Linked DNA regions of Mus musculus. The protein of the gene in region 3 binds, or shares a complex with, the protein of the main gene of each other region. Links are inferred from orthologs where the notes say so. Each region holds a gene or a part of one and is shown on either strand. Other genes may lie near its edges.

The links.
Region 1: the proteins of Vegfa (region 3) and Kdr are in contact, whole or in part, in a crystal structure (PDB 3V2A), measured with the Homo sapiens proteins. The link is inferred for Mus musculus from reciprocal best matches to the Homo sapiens genes VEGFA and KDR. Residues at the interface, in NP_003367.4 of Homo sapiens: Pro246, Asp247, Ile249, Glu250, Ile252, Lys254, Met287, Ile289, Pro291, His292, Gln295, Ile297; in NP_002244.1 of Homo sapiens: His133, Val135, Tyr137, Ile215, Val216, Val217, Val218, Val219, Gly220, Tyr221, Asn253, Gly255, Ile256, Asp257, Phe258, Val273, Asn274, Arg275, Asp276, Phe288, Ser311, Gly312, Leu313.
Region 2: the proteins of Vegfa (region 3) and Nrp2 are in contact, whole or in part, in a crystal structure (PDB 5DN2), measured with the Homo sapiens proteins. The link is inferred for Mus musculus from reciprocal best matches to the Homo sapiens genes VEGFA and NRP2. Residues at the interface, in NP_003367.4 of Homo sapiens: Lys392, Pro393, Arg394, Arg395; in NP_957718.1 of Homo sapiens: Tyr299, Ser300, Asp301, Trp304, Thr319, Asp323, Ser349, Glu351, Thr352, Asn354, Tyr356, Gly417, Ile418.

What each region holds. Positions count from the first base shown.
Region 1 is NC_000071.6:75,957,825-75,961,468, forward strand, and holds part of Kdr (vascular endothelial growth factor receptor 2 isoform 1 precursor), read right to left. Parts: intron 2,995-3,644; coding exon 2,886-2,994; intron 1,635-2,885; coding exon 1,293-1,634; coding exon of another isoform or gene 1,252-1,292; exon of another isoform or gene 1-1,251. UniProt on the Homo sapiens protein: Tyrosine-protein kinase that acts as a cell-surface receptor for VEGFA, VEGFC and VEGFD. Plays an essential role in the regulation of angiogenesis, vascular development, vascular permeability, and embryonic hematopoiesis.
Region 2 is NC_000067.6:62,741,262-62,744,905, forward strand, and holds part of Nrp2 (neuropilin-2 isoform 2 precursor), read left to right. Parts: intron 1-2,913; coding exon 2,914-3,144; intron 3,145-3,644.
Region 3 is NC_000083.6:46,029,476-46,033,844, reverse strand, and holds the start of Vegfa (vascular endothelial growth factor A), read left to right. Parts: upstream 1-1,467; 5' UTR 1,468-1,954; coding exon 1,955-2,554; intron 2,555-4,369.

The DNA.
Region 1 (3,644 bases), on a different chromosome or scaffold from region 3:
AGTAGAAACATTGATGAGCATCAGGAAGAATCATGTTGAGAGAATCTCTTCCACACTTAGCAGAACGTGGTCATTTCCACCATGTACTATATATATCAGAGTTTAAACAAGTGTACTTGGCTCTGGCCTACTTCCAAGAACAGAGTTTTGGAAACAACAGAGGCATCCTTATAGAAGCATACCCACTGACTGTGATAGGAAACTTCCTGGTCATGGCTAAGCCCAGAGCTCCCTTCTAAACTTGCCCTCATCTGGATCAGCTACTGTTAACCTGATATAACGGGTCCTATGTGTGGTGTGATCTCTAGGGTCTTGGGAACAACTTCACTCAGAAACATCTGTCCTTCTGTCCCCAAGTTTCTTTTTAATAACAATCATATGTTAGCATCTATTTTCAAACACCCCCTCAGATAAGCCAAAGCACTTAAAAATGATATTCATGTAAAATGTTGATGTAGATTAGTTAGCCTGGGCAGTTCACCTTTCTCACACTATAAACCAGAGAAGATGCACATCACGAGAACCTCAGAGAGCACAACAAAGAAAGGAGAAAATGGCAGGAAAAAAGCACAGAGATGCCTCCTAAACTCACCAGATATCCTCAGAGCAGAGATTGCCTAGGTTTTGTGCAAAGTACAAGGTTAGACAAGACAGGCTAGCATCCCCACAGGAAATGTGAAAGTTTTTTTTTTCTAATCCCAAACTTATCTCACTGAACTTCACCTACTGCAGACCACATAGGCTACCAGAGGAGTACAGGCAATGAGTGTGGCACCCCTTCCGTGGAATCTTCTAGATCTTAAATTCAGACCCTCATCACACTTTTCATGAAGCAGGTATCCCATTGACCACCTTGTATGTGCCAGTGTGTTCTCTGACTAAAATTACGGCAGTAAGCAAGCAAAGATCAATTTTTATCCCCAGGAGTTGGAGACACCACAATGGCACGACCACCCGGTATTTGCCTATAGTCTCACCCTCTCCTTCTGGGTCATCACTTTGAGCTTCTGACCCTCTCTTTGCTAATAGTATTACACACATGTGCTAACTGTAATCATCTGAATGTCCAGGGATGCCACAGGAAGTTCTCTGGATTTAAGCTAATCCCTTGCACATACTAGTAGTGACATCATCTTAAAGGCTAGAAAGAGTCAAGCTGTCTTCTAATTTTAATGTCTTACCTCACCACTGTTAGCTTTGCTCTGCTTCCAGGAGTGTGCCAGCCTACTACAACACTCAAACACACTGCATTTAAGGCATTGCAATTCTGTCACCCAGGGATGCCTCCATACCTAGGATGATGAGCTGTTTGACCAGGCAATGTCTTTTCTTGGTCTTCTTATCTTGAGCAGAGCAAACATAGTCGCCTTGGTCCTGCAGAGAGGCATTCTGAAATGCCACAATCAAGATGTCATTTGTGCTGTTAGAAAACATGGTGCCATTCAGTTTCCAAAGAGCATCCAAGTTCTTGCAAACTGGTGTGAGTGATTCGCCCATGTGGACCGATGTTGCCTGTGAGCCAAGCTTGTACCACGTGAGGTTCTCAAACGTATTTCTGTCTGCAGTGCACAACAGGGACACACTCTCCTGCTCAGTTGGCTGGGCAGCAGGTTGCACAGTAATTTCAGGACCCCCTGAAATGTAAAGCCATAGTTAGTGGATAGTTAACTTAAGTTGGTGCATGACACAATTGTCTTCTTGCTGCTATGATGAACTAAGAAACAGCTCTCGCAGTCCCAAGTCATTACTACAAAGACAGACCCAAATCAGACAATTCATTTTGCAAAATGTATTATTTGGAAATGTGAAATTAATTTTCCCCAAGTATTCACTGCATTTGACTTTGAGTTCTAGATATGGTTTCCAAGATGAAAAAAAAAAAACAAAAAACAACAACAACAAAACAAACAAAAAGATTAAAGCAGGGCATTTAATCACCACATGGAATCTTTAATGATGCCTTCTTATTAATACATGATATGAAAACTACATTTATTACAAGTAATTACCTCAGACTAAAATATCTGAGCCAGTACAATCAGCTTAAATTTACCCATAAAACTAGGCTGCAGCGACAAACTCTGGAGTGTAGAAAAGCAGAGGCCAGTGACTTCACATCATTTCCATACTCTAGAAGCCCCGGCCCTGGTGCTGTTCTATCACAAACCCACAGATAACTTCACAAACCCCAGCAAGTCATGAATCACACTGACTCTGGCAAGCAAGACAAGCCACACCTGTACTGGCTGGTTTGGGGTGTCAACTTAACACAGGCTGGAGTTATCACAGAGAAAGGAGCTTCAGTTGGGGAAGTGCCTCCATGCGATCCAGCTGTGGGGCATTTTCTCAATGAGTGATCAAGGGGGGAGGGCCCCTTGTGGGTGGGACCATCCCTGGACTGGCAGTTTTTGGGTTCTATAAGAAAGCAAGCTGAGCAAGCCAGGGGAAGCAAGCCAGGAAAGAAACATCCCTCCATGGCCTCTGCATCAGCTCCTGCTTTCTGCCCTGCTAGAGTTCCAGTCTTGACTTCCTTTGGTGATGAAAAGCAGTGTGGAAGTGTAAGCTGAATAAACCCTTTCCTCCCCAACTTGCTTCTTGGTCATGATGTTTGTGCAGGAATAGAAACCCTGACTAAGACAACACCCAACATGGGACTTGAGGCTTAAAGCACAAGTGGAAACCTTCTCTGACCAGTGATAGGATAGCACATGAACTCTCACACGAGCCCGGGGCCTGCATGAGCAGATTTAATGCATTACCGTCAAGTCCTAGCTACACACCACACCACTTGCACAAATTTCAAAGACAACCGAGGACCTCACAACTTATTAGCACCCACTTTCTGAGGGTGCCCCGCCCCACCCTCTAAAGAGTTCTCTACTCACTGATCACATGGAAGGAGATGACCCTCTCTCCTCGTCCCGCTTTGTTGATGGCTTCACATTTGTACAACGCTGACACGTTGGCAGCTTGGATGACCAGCGTACTTACAGTCTGTGAACGTACAAGACCCAAGCCATGAACAATGCAGGCTGAACATGTGTGCGCGCAAACACACACACACACACACACACACACACACACACACACACTGAGACTGACCGTTCATCAGCACCCACAGCTGCTAAGAACTGCCTTTGCCATTCATGGTACACCCTGCCCATTGGCAAAGGTAAACAGCTCTAACCAGGCAGTTAGACAGGGGGTGCAAAAGTGCTTTGGAAATCCTCAAGGATTCACTTTAATGAATGAACATAACTGACACTTTTCCTTTTTCATGTGCAGAGTCAGAATTACTTTACAACAAGTGTATACACTACATGGTATTATGTGCTTCATTTCTCTTCCATGAACTGCTAGTAAGCTATGGGTACTGTGGGGGTTCCCCTTCTCCTTTTACATTAGTAGATATTAATTGTGCAAAATAGCAGGTTTTATTAGGACATTTTTATACATGTATATAATATATTAGATTATATCCACTCCCAATGATTCTGTCTTCCCCCACTCCACTCCAAATGATCCCTCTCCTCTTCCCAAATAGTCTTCTCTACCTCCGATGTCTTTTATTTTATCTTGACTCGTATGTAGGAAAATCATATGTGCATTGCTAAGTCGAACTTATTTTGCTTCATGTGATGATC
Region 2 (3,644 bases), on a different chromosome or scaffold from region 3:
TTTGTTATCTTTGTATGGGTTAGGCTCCTCTTCCTATACTTCCATGATGTAAACTATTCTTCAGGCCAAAGACTTTGGAAGGAATGCTTTGCTCCAGCCCAGGCCCCACAACTTCAGTTTTGTGTTGTTCTGCTGTTTTATGAGCCAGAGCCTCACTCTGTAGCCCACACTGTCCTAGAATTCAGTTCATAGTTCAGGCTTGCCTAGAACTCACGGTGGTCCTCCTGCCTCAGTTTCCTAGAATTACAGTGCTTGGATTTCAGGTATGAGCCACCACACTGGCTCAAACCTCCAAGAGTCATCTTATCATCGAATCGACATCAATGTTTGTCAGCTGGGTATTTTAAAAATTGTGTCCTTTTAACATGTTTCGGGAAAGGATTGTGAATTAGTCAGATTTCTGCAAGACTCTCAGTTTGCCTCCATTGCCAGGATCCCTTTTGACCTGGGGTTTTTGGTTGCCATTCAGGTGCCTTGACCATGGTGGGACCAGAGACAAATATATAATTTTATAAGATGCCTGATTTTTTTCTGCTTGCAAAGGATAAAACAATAATGTCTTCTCACCACCCTCAAAACAAGAAAGGAATGTATCTATTTCTAACCATGTATCAGACATGCACTGGTTTTGTTTGTTTGTTTGTTTGTTATTTGTTTGGCCTTGAGTACTTGATGTTGAAAAATCCCTTCCAGTTACATGCTAGACCCGATGATCCTGAAACAGAATGTTTTAGAGTCTCACGTTCTCCAGGGCCCGTATTAGGCTCTACACGCCCATTGTTCAAACACTTTGTTCCCCCAAGGATGACAAGGATCAAAGATTCTATCATAAATTCCCAGCTCCCAAGGAGGCGCCGAGTCCCCGTGCCTTCTGAAGGGTTGACAATGGAGCCAGCTCTAGGAGGGAACTCTCCAGAGGCTAACTCTCAAGTCAGTTGTGAACAGAGACTTGATTCCCATCCAGCACTGTGTGAGGCTCCCTGTGTGTGCTGTGAAGAAATCTGCATAGCAGCCTTAAACTCTAACCTTTTCAAAATTCTTCTTGGCCCCCTGAAGACCAGCCAGCTGGCCTGGCTTTCCCAAATCACATCATCCCAGGCCACTGAGGAAGCCCTCAGGAGTTTGCTGCCTGCTGGTAAACAAAGCTGAGGAAGCAGGGAGGGGCACCCCTGCTCATCCCACCCAAGCTAGCTGCCCACTGGCAAGGTTGGGACTTCCCTGCTGCTGTTGTGCCACTGAGCGAAAGGCAAAGCCTCTGAGATGTGGCCCCTAGAGCTCCAAATAACCCAGGAAGGTTCTTTCTTGCTCCTGGTCCGCATCCCCTACACAGCCCAAGGTGCAGCAATGACAACGGAAGGAGGTAATCCATGGATATAGCTGTAGATGCTGGGAATTCCCTATGCCGCCTGAACTACAGAAAGTTACGAGCCTACCCCAAATACACATATACCTGTTTGCACGGGACCTTCTCCAAGTCAGATATTTGCACTTTCCAGAAAGTCATCATGCATAGAGACTTGCAGAGGGCCCTGCCTGCTACAGGAGCCTTAGATAAAGATGTGGTCGCTGCCGGCTAAGATCGGCATATTGACAACCCACAGTTATATTTCAGTGTGATCTCCAGAGGGTACTTCCTGCCGGTAAACACCTGGTTTATTGAGTATTTCTGTGTTGTTTGTTGTTTTTAGTTGTTGTTGTTGTTTTCGTCATGCTTAGAGTGTCTATTATCCCTTTCCTAAATTCTGCTTCCTTTACTTATTTTAAAATCCAAACGTAGTGAATAAAAACTACTGTAATTGCCAGCATTTGCACCCACATCATTAACTCGTACTCACTCTTGCTCTTTGTATATGCTGGGTCTCTGTTCCTGGCTCTGCCCAGAGCCAACAGTTGCTGGGTTTAAAGCACAAGGGCTCCTCTACTATGACTCCACCTCTGGGGTTGTGGTGGCTGTAATCCTCTCTGTTCCTGCTGCTGCTGCCCAAGCCTGTAGCAGGCTGCGATTGTGTGAGTGTGTGGCATGTTTCATCAGGATGCATCCCAAGAAAGCTAACCCAAGAGCTTAGGAGGGAAACAAGGCCATCCCCACCACAAAGGCACCAGAAGCCTTCCAAATGTCAATACACTGCTGCATTTTTCCAGACTCGCCACCAGAGCGGCCTTTAACATCCCCAACGCCCTGCTGTGATCTACCGGCTGAAAACCTCGATTGTTAATTGTCCCACCACTACAGAGCAGCCCGTTTAATCCAGTCAGGACATGAGGGAGGCTCCAGCTCCCCTTTGCCCCTCCCCTGAGGCACCTTGGAACTTGGAGGGAGAAGGGGCACTTAGCTGGCTAGGGTACAATAGAGGCTAGTGTTGAGGTCAGCAATAAATAAGGGATAACATTGTTTTCTCTGCTGGCAACCAGCAAGCCTTCCTTAAGGATTGAAATAACTTACATTCTGGAGTGAGCAGCTGAGTAATTGAGAAAGAAGACTCTGTCCCTCTTTCAAGATCTCTCTCTCTCTCTCTGTCTCTCTCTCTCTCTGTCTCTCTCTCTCTCTCTCTCTCTCTCTCACACACACACACACACACACACACACCCCTCTTTACCTCTTACCCTCCAATCCCTCGACTGTTGCTCTTATTCTAATATTCAAAGCAATCGGCTGCACTGTCCTAATTTCTGTCCAAAAGGGAGGCTGGCTTGAGGACTTGAAACACAGAGGGCAAGGATGTGTTGTTCCAAGTGCTACTTGAACAGAAATAAAAACCTTGTTTAGACAAGGGGACATAGACACAAACATTTAAATAACCCAAAGGCAGAGGAGAGAGCAGAGAAAGGCTACTCTCTAATAACTTCTCTCTCTCCTTCTCTCCCTCTCTCTCTCTCTCTCTGTCTCTGTCTCTGTCTCTCTCTCTCTCTCAGGCTCTGAAGATTGTTCCAAGAACTTTACAAGCCCCAATGGGACCATTGAATCTCCAGGGTTTCCAGAGAAGTATCCACACAATCTGGACTGTACCTTCACCATCCTGGCCAAACCCAGGATGGAGATCATCCTACAGTTCCTGACCTTTGACCTGGAGCATGACCCTCTACAAGTGGGGGAAGGAGACTGTAAATATGACTGGCTGGACATCTGGGATGGCATTCCACATGGTGAGTGAACGCTTATGCTCAGCTCCCTTTCTCCTTCTTATGAAGGTCAGGACTCTAACCTAGGGAATAGTAGCACCCAAAGTGGGCACATCTTCCCACTTCGATTAACCCAGTCAAGGTAATCCCCCAGAGATATACCCAGAGGACTGTCTCTAAGATGATTCTAAATTTCATCAAGTGAAAACTGAGATTAACCATTAGAGATTGCAAAACTATAAGTGTTGTTCCTTTCTACATAAGTTATTAAAATAGAAGTGAATCAATTATCATATGATGTGGCCGTATAGAAGGATTTAAAGCCAAAGTGACTGGACTTGAATCTCTCTGACGTACAACCCAGCCAAGGTATTGAACCTCTCAGTATGTTGTCTGGGAAATACCTATCATCACTATTATCACGAGTACTATTATTTTATTACTATTTAATATAGTCATGGATATTGAAAAGCAAGCATTTATAGCCAAGAGGGGCCTATATAAATCAGGTGAAGGACTAACAC
Region 3 (4,369 bases):
CCAGGGGAGCCTAGGAGCAGCTGGGCCAAAGCCCAACCAGGAATTTTTCCAGGCTGGTTCCTATATCCAAGGGTGGGTTAGAGGTGGGGGTTTTGGAGAGCTCTTAAGGAAGACACTGAGGACATGGAGAAGGGGACTTAGTAGAAAGAGAGGGGACAGAGCCACACGGGCTAAGTGTGCAAGCATAGAGAAATAGCCAAGGGTTTTAGGGAGAATGGGAGGACAGAGTACACCCCTGAATTCTGTTTAGAAGATGAACCGTAAGCCTAGGCTAGAACTGAGGGAGCCTCTACTCCCACCCTTCCGAGGGTTGGCGGCAGCGCTGGGCAGCTGGCCTACCTACCTTTCTGAATGCTAGGGTAGGTTTGAATCACCATGCCGGCCTGGCCCGCTTCTGCCCCCATTGGCACCCTGGCTTCAGTTCCCTGGCAACATCTCTGTGTGTGTGTGTGTGTGTGTGTGAGAGAGAGAGATCAGGAGGAACAAGGGCCTCTGTCTGCCCAGCTGTCTCTCCTTCAGGGCTCTGCCAGACTACACAGTGCATACGTGGGTTTCCACAGGTCGTCTCACTCCCCGCCACTGACTAACTCCAGAACTCCACTTCCCGTTCTCAGTGCCACAAATTTGGTGCCAAATTCTCTCCAGAGAAGCCTCTCTGGAAACTTCCCAGAGGATCCCATTCACCCCAGGGCCCTAGCTCCTGATGACTGCAGATCAGACAAGGGCTCAGATAAGCATACTCCCCCCCCCCCGTAACCCCCTCCCCACATATAAACCTAGAGTTATGCTTCCGAGGTCAAACACGCAACTTTTTGGGTGTGTGTGTATGTCAGAAACACGCAATTATTTGGGAGCTCAAAGTCTGCCGCACTCAAGAATCAACTCTCACCCCCTTTCCAAGACCCGTGCCATTTGAGCAAGAGTTGGGGTGTGCATAATGTAGTCACTAGGGGGCGCTCGGCCATCACGGGGAGATCGTGAACTTGGGCGAGCCGAGTCTGCGTGAGGGAGGACGCGTGTGTCAATGTGAGTGCGTGCATGCATGTGTGTGTGTGTGTAGTGTGTTTGTGAGGTGGGGGAGAAAGCCAGGGGTCACTCTAGTTGTCCCTATCCTCATACGTCCCTGCCAGCTCTCCGCCTTCCAACCCCTACTTTCTCCTATATTCCTGGGAAAGGGAATTGTTCTTAGACCCTGTCCGCATATAACCTCACTCTCCTGTCTCCCCTGATTCCCAATACTCTGGGATTCCCAGTGTGTTCCTGAGCCCAGTTTGAAGGGGTGCACAGATAATTTTGAGGCCGTGGACCCTGGTAAGGGGTTTAGCTTTCCATTTCGCGGTAGTGGCCTAGGGGCTCCCCGAAAGGCGGTGCCTGGCTCCACCAGACCGCTCCCCGGGGCGGGTCTGGGCGGGGCTTGGGGGTGGAGCTAGATTTCCTCTTTTTCTTCCACCGCTGTTACCGGTGAGAAGCGCAGAGGCTTGGGGCAGCCGAGCTGCAGCGAGGCCGCGGCACTGGGGGCGAGCTGAGCGGCGGCAGCGGAGCTCTGTCGCGAGACGCAGCGACAAGGCAGACTATTCAGCGGACTCACCAGCCCGGGAGTCTGTGCTCTGGGATTTGATATTCAAACCTCTTAATTTTTTTTTCTTAAACTGTATTGTTTTACGCTTTAATTTATTTTTGCTTCCTATTCCCCTCTTAAATCGTGCCAACGGTTTGAGGAGGTTGGTTCTTCACTCCCTCAAATCACTTCGGATTGTGGAAATCAGCAGACGAAAGAGGTATCAAGAGCTCCAGAGAGAAGTCAAGGAAGAGAGAGAGAGACCGGTCAGAGAGAGCGCGCTGGCGAGCGAACAGAGAGAGGGACAGGGGCAAAGTGACTGACCTGCTTTTGGGGGTGACCGCCAGAGCGCGGCGTGAGCCCTCCCCCTTGGGATCTTGCATCGGACCAGTCGCGCTGACGGACAGACAGACAGACACCGCCCCCAGCCCCAGCGCCCACCTCCTCGCCGGCGGGCTGCCGACGGTGGACGCGGCGGCGAGCCGCGAGGAACCGAAGCCCGCGCCCGGAGGCGGGGTGGAGGGGGTCGGGGCTCGCGGGATTGCACGGAAACTTTTCGTCCAACTTCTGGGCTCTTCTCGCTCCGTAGTAGCCGTGGTCTGCGCCGCAGGAGACAAACCGATCGGAGCTGGGAGAAGTGCTAGCTCGGGCCTGGAGAAGCCGGGGCCCGAGAAGAGAGGGGAGGAAGAGAAGGAAGAGGAGAGGGGGCCGCAGTGGGCGCTCGGCTCTCAGGAGCCGAGCTCATGGACGGGTGAGGCGGCCGTGTGCGCAGACAGTGCTCCAGCCGCGCGCGCGCCCCAGGCCCCGGCCCGGGCCTCGGTTCCAGAAGGGAGAGGAGCCCGCCAAGGCGCGCAAGAGAGCGGGCTGCCTCGCAGTCCGAGCCGGAGAGGGAGCGCGAGCCGCGCCGGCCCCGGACGGGCCTCCGAAACCATGAACTTTCTGCTCTCTTGGGTGCACTGGACCCTGGCTTTACTGCTGTACCTCCACCATGCCAAGGTAAGCGGTCGTGCCCGTCTGCTGTCGCCGGGCCGTGGCGAGCGCCTCTCCCGCTTGGGGACGTGCGTGCGTGCGAGCGCGCGCGTGGGGGGCTTCGTGCCCCACGCGGGTCCTTGGGCACCGGGCGCGAGGCGTCCCCCTCTGTCGTCGTACGTGGAGGGGGAGGGGGTGCGCGCTAGGTGGGAGGGCGCCAGGATCGTCTCGCCGCCCACGCGGGCCCTGCCCACCCACCAGAGTCACCGCACGTACGATCTGGGCCGAGCAGCGGAGGGCGGGAGCCAGAGGAGGAGGCTGAGGGGGCTGGGCTTGTGCCGAGGCTGGCGGCAGAAGTTTGCTCCGGGTCGCGGGTCCCCGGAGAACTGGAAGTCCGGGCAAAGGGGGCGGGAGTCCGGAGCCCAGCGGGCATGCCTGGGGGTGCTCGGACCTTGGACCCGGGGAGGGCAGAGATCGTGGAGGGGGCAGGGCGCGGGCGACCGAGGGGGCTTTGCTGTCACTGCCGTTTGGGTCTCTGAGGCCCTTGCAGTGAGTTTGGGGAAAGTTTTAGGATGGATTGCTGCGGGGACCCTCTCCCACCGCTCTAGCTTGTTGGGCCACCTGCACCGCGCCACCCCCTCCCGTCCCCGCTCGCGTCCCGCGCGGTGCCCGCCCTCCCCCGCCTGGCCGGGCGCGCGCGGCGCAGAGCCGATTACATCAGCCCGGGCCTGGCCGGCCTCGTGTTCCCGGAGCCGCGGCTGCCGGAGCCCGGAGACCCGGGCGACGAGCGGCGCCCCTCCCCCCACCGGCCCTCCGCGAGGAAGGTGACCTCTGGAGGTATCCCCAGCTCCGGGACCCGGAGAAACTCCCATACCTCTTTCCTCCGTTCCCAACTTCTACCCGTGCCTCGCGCTAGGAAGAATTTCCCGACGCCCCTTCCCCCTTTTCCCCATTTCCTGCCTGGTGTAAAAAGAGAAGCCCTTCCCACCCTTTTATATTTTCCTTTTCTTTGCGAAGACTCATCGGACCTTTCCTGGACCCAGGGTCCAGGAAAAGGACGGTGACTGTCAGGCGTGGGGGTGCTGAGGCCCACCCTCGGGTTCTTTGTGGAAACGCTGACCTAAGTTTTGAGTTGGTGAAGGTGTGCTCCCTCCTCCCCTCACAGCTGTGCTTCAGGTTTTTTTTTTTTTTTGCGGGGGGGGGGGTGGATCAACGAAGGGTGGACTGACATCACCCCATTTCCCACCCCCACCCCCCCTTTGGAAACATGACTTGATATTTGCTCTGACAGGGGCAGCCTGGAACCAGCCCTTTCCCATACCTTTGGCAGGATCCCTTGTCAGTCAGTATCTCTCACACACTTTGTCCTGGCAAAGCCCGATGCCCAGAGAGCAGGTGGTTTAACTGCGAACTTGCCCACCCAACTTGCCTACCAAAGGGTCCTTTCATGCTTATTTCCACGAAGCTTCAGTTGTAGAGCCTTCTTGGAAAGGAGGCAGAAGGAAGGAGAAGGGCAGGTGTCCCTGCCACCATCCAGAGTTCCCCAGACCCTGGCACAAAGGCCTTGGTTCTGGGCCTCCATGTGGGGAGGAGGATAGGAGTGCTTGGCCACAGTGTGACCTTCAGAGGCCCCCAGAGAAGGACACCTGGCCAGTCCCTGCCTTAGAACCTCCCCATCTGGGAAGGGGTTCAAAGTTTCTGTTCCCTTTCTCCACGGGGGGCTAGACAGAAGAATAAGGAGAATGTCATGGGGCTATTGAGGGGGTAGTGAGGGCCTACAGTGCAGAATCCAGGGCCAACCTGAGGCAGCTGGAATGGGGAAGCTATCTCTTGAGAAGGGTC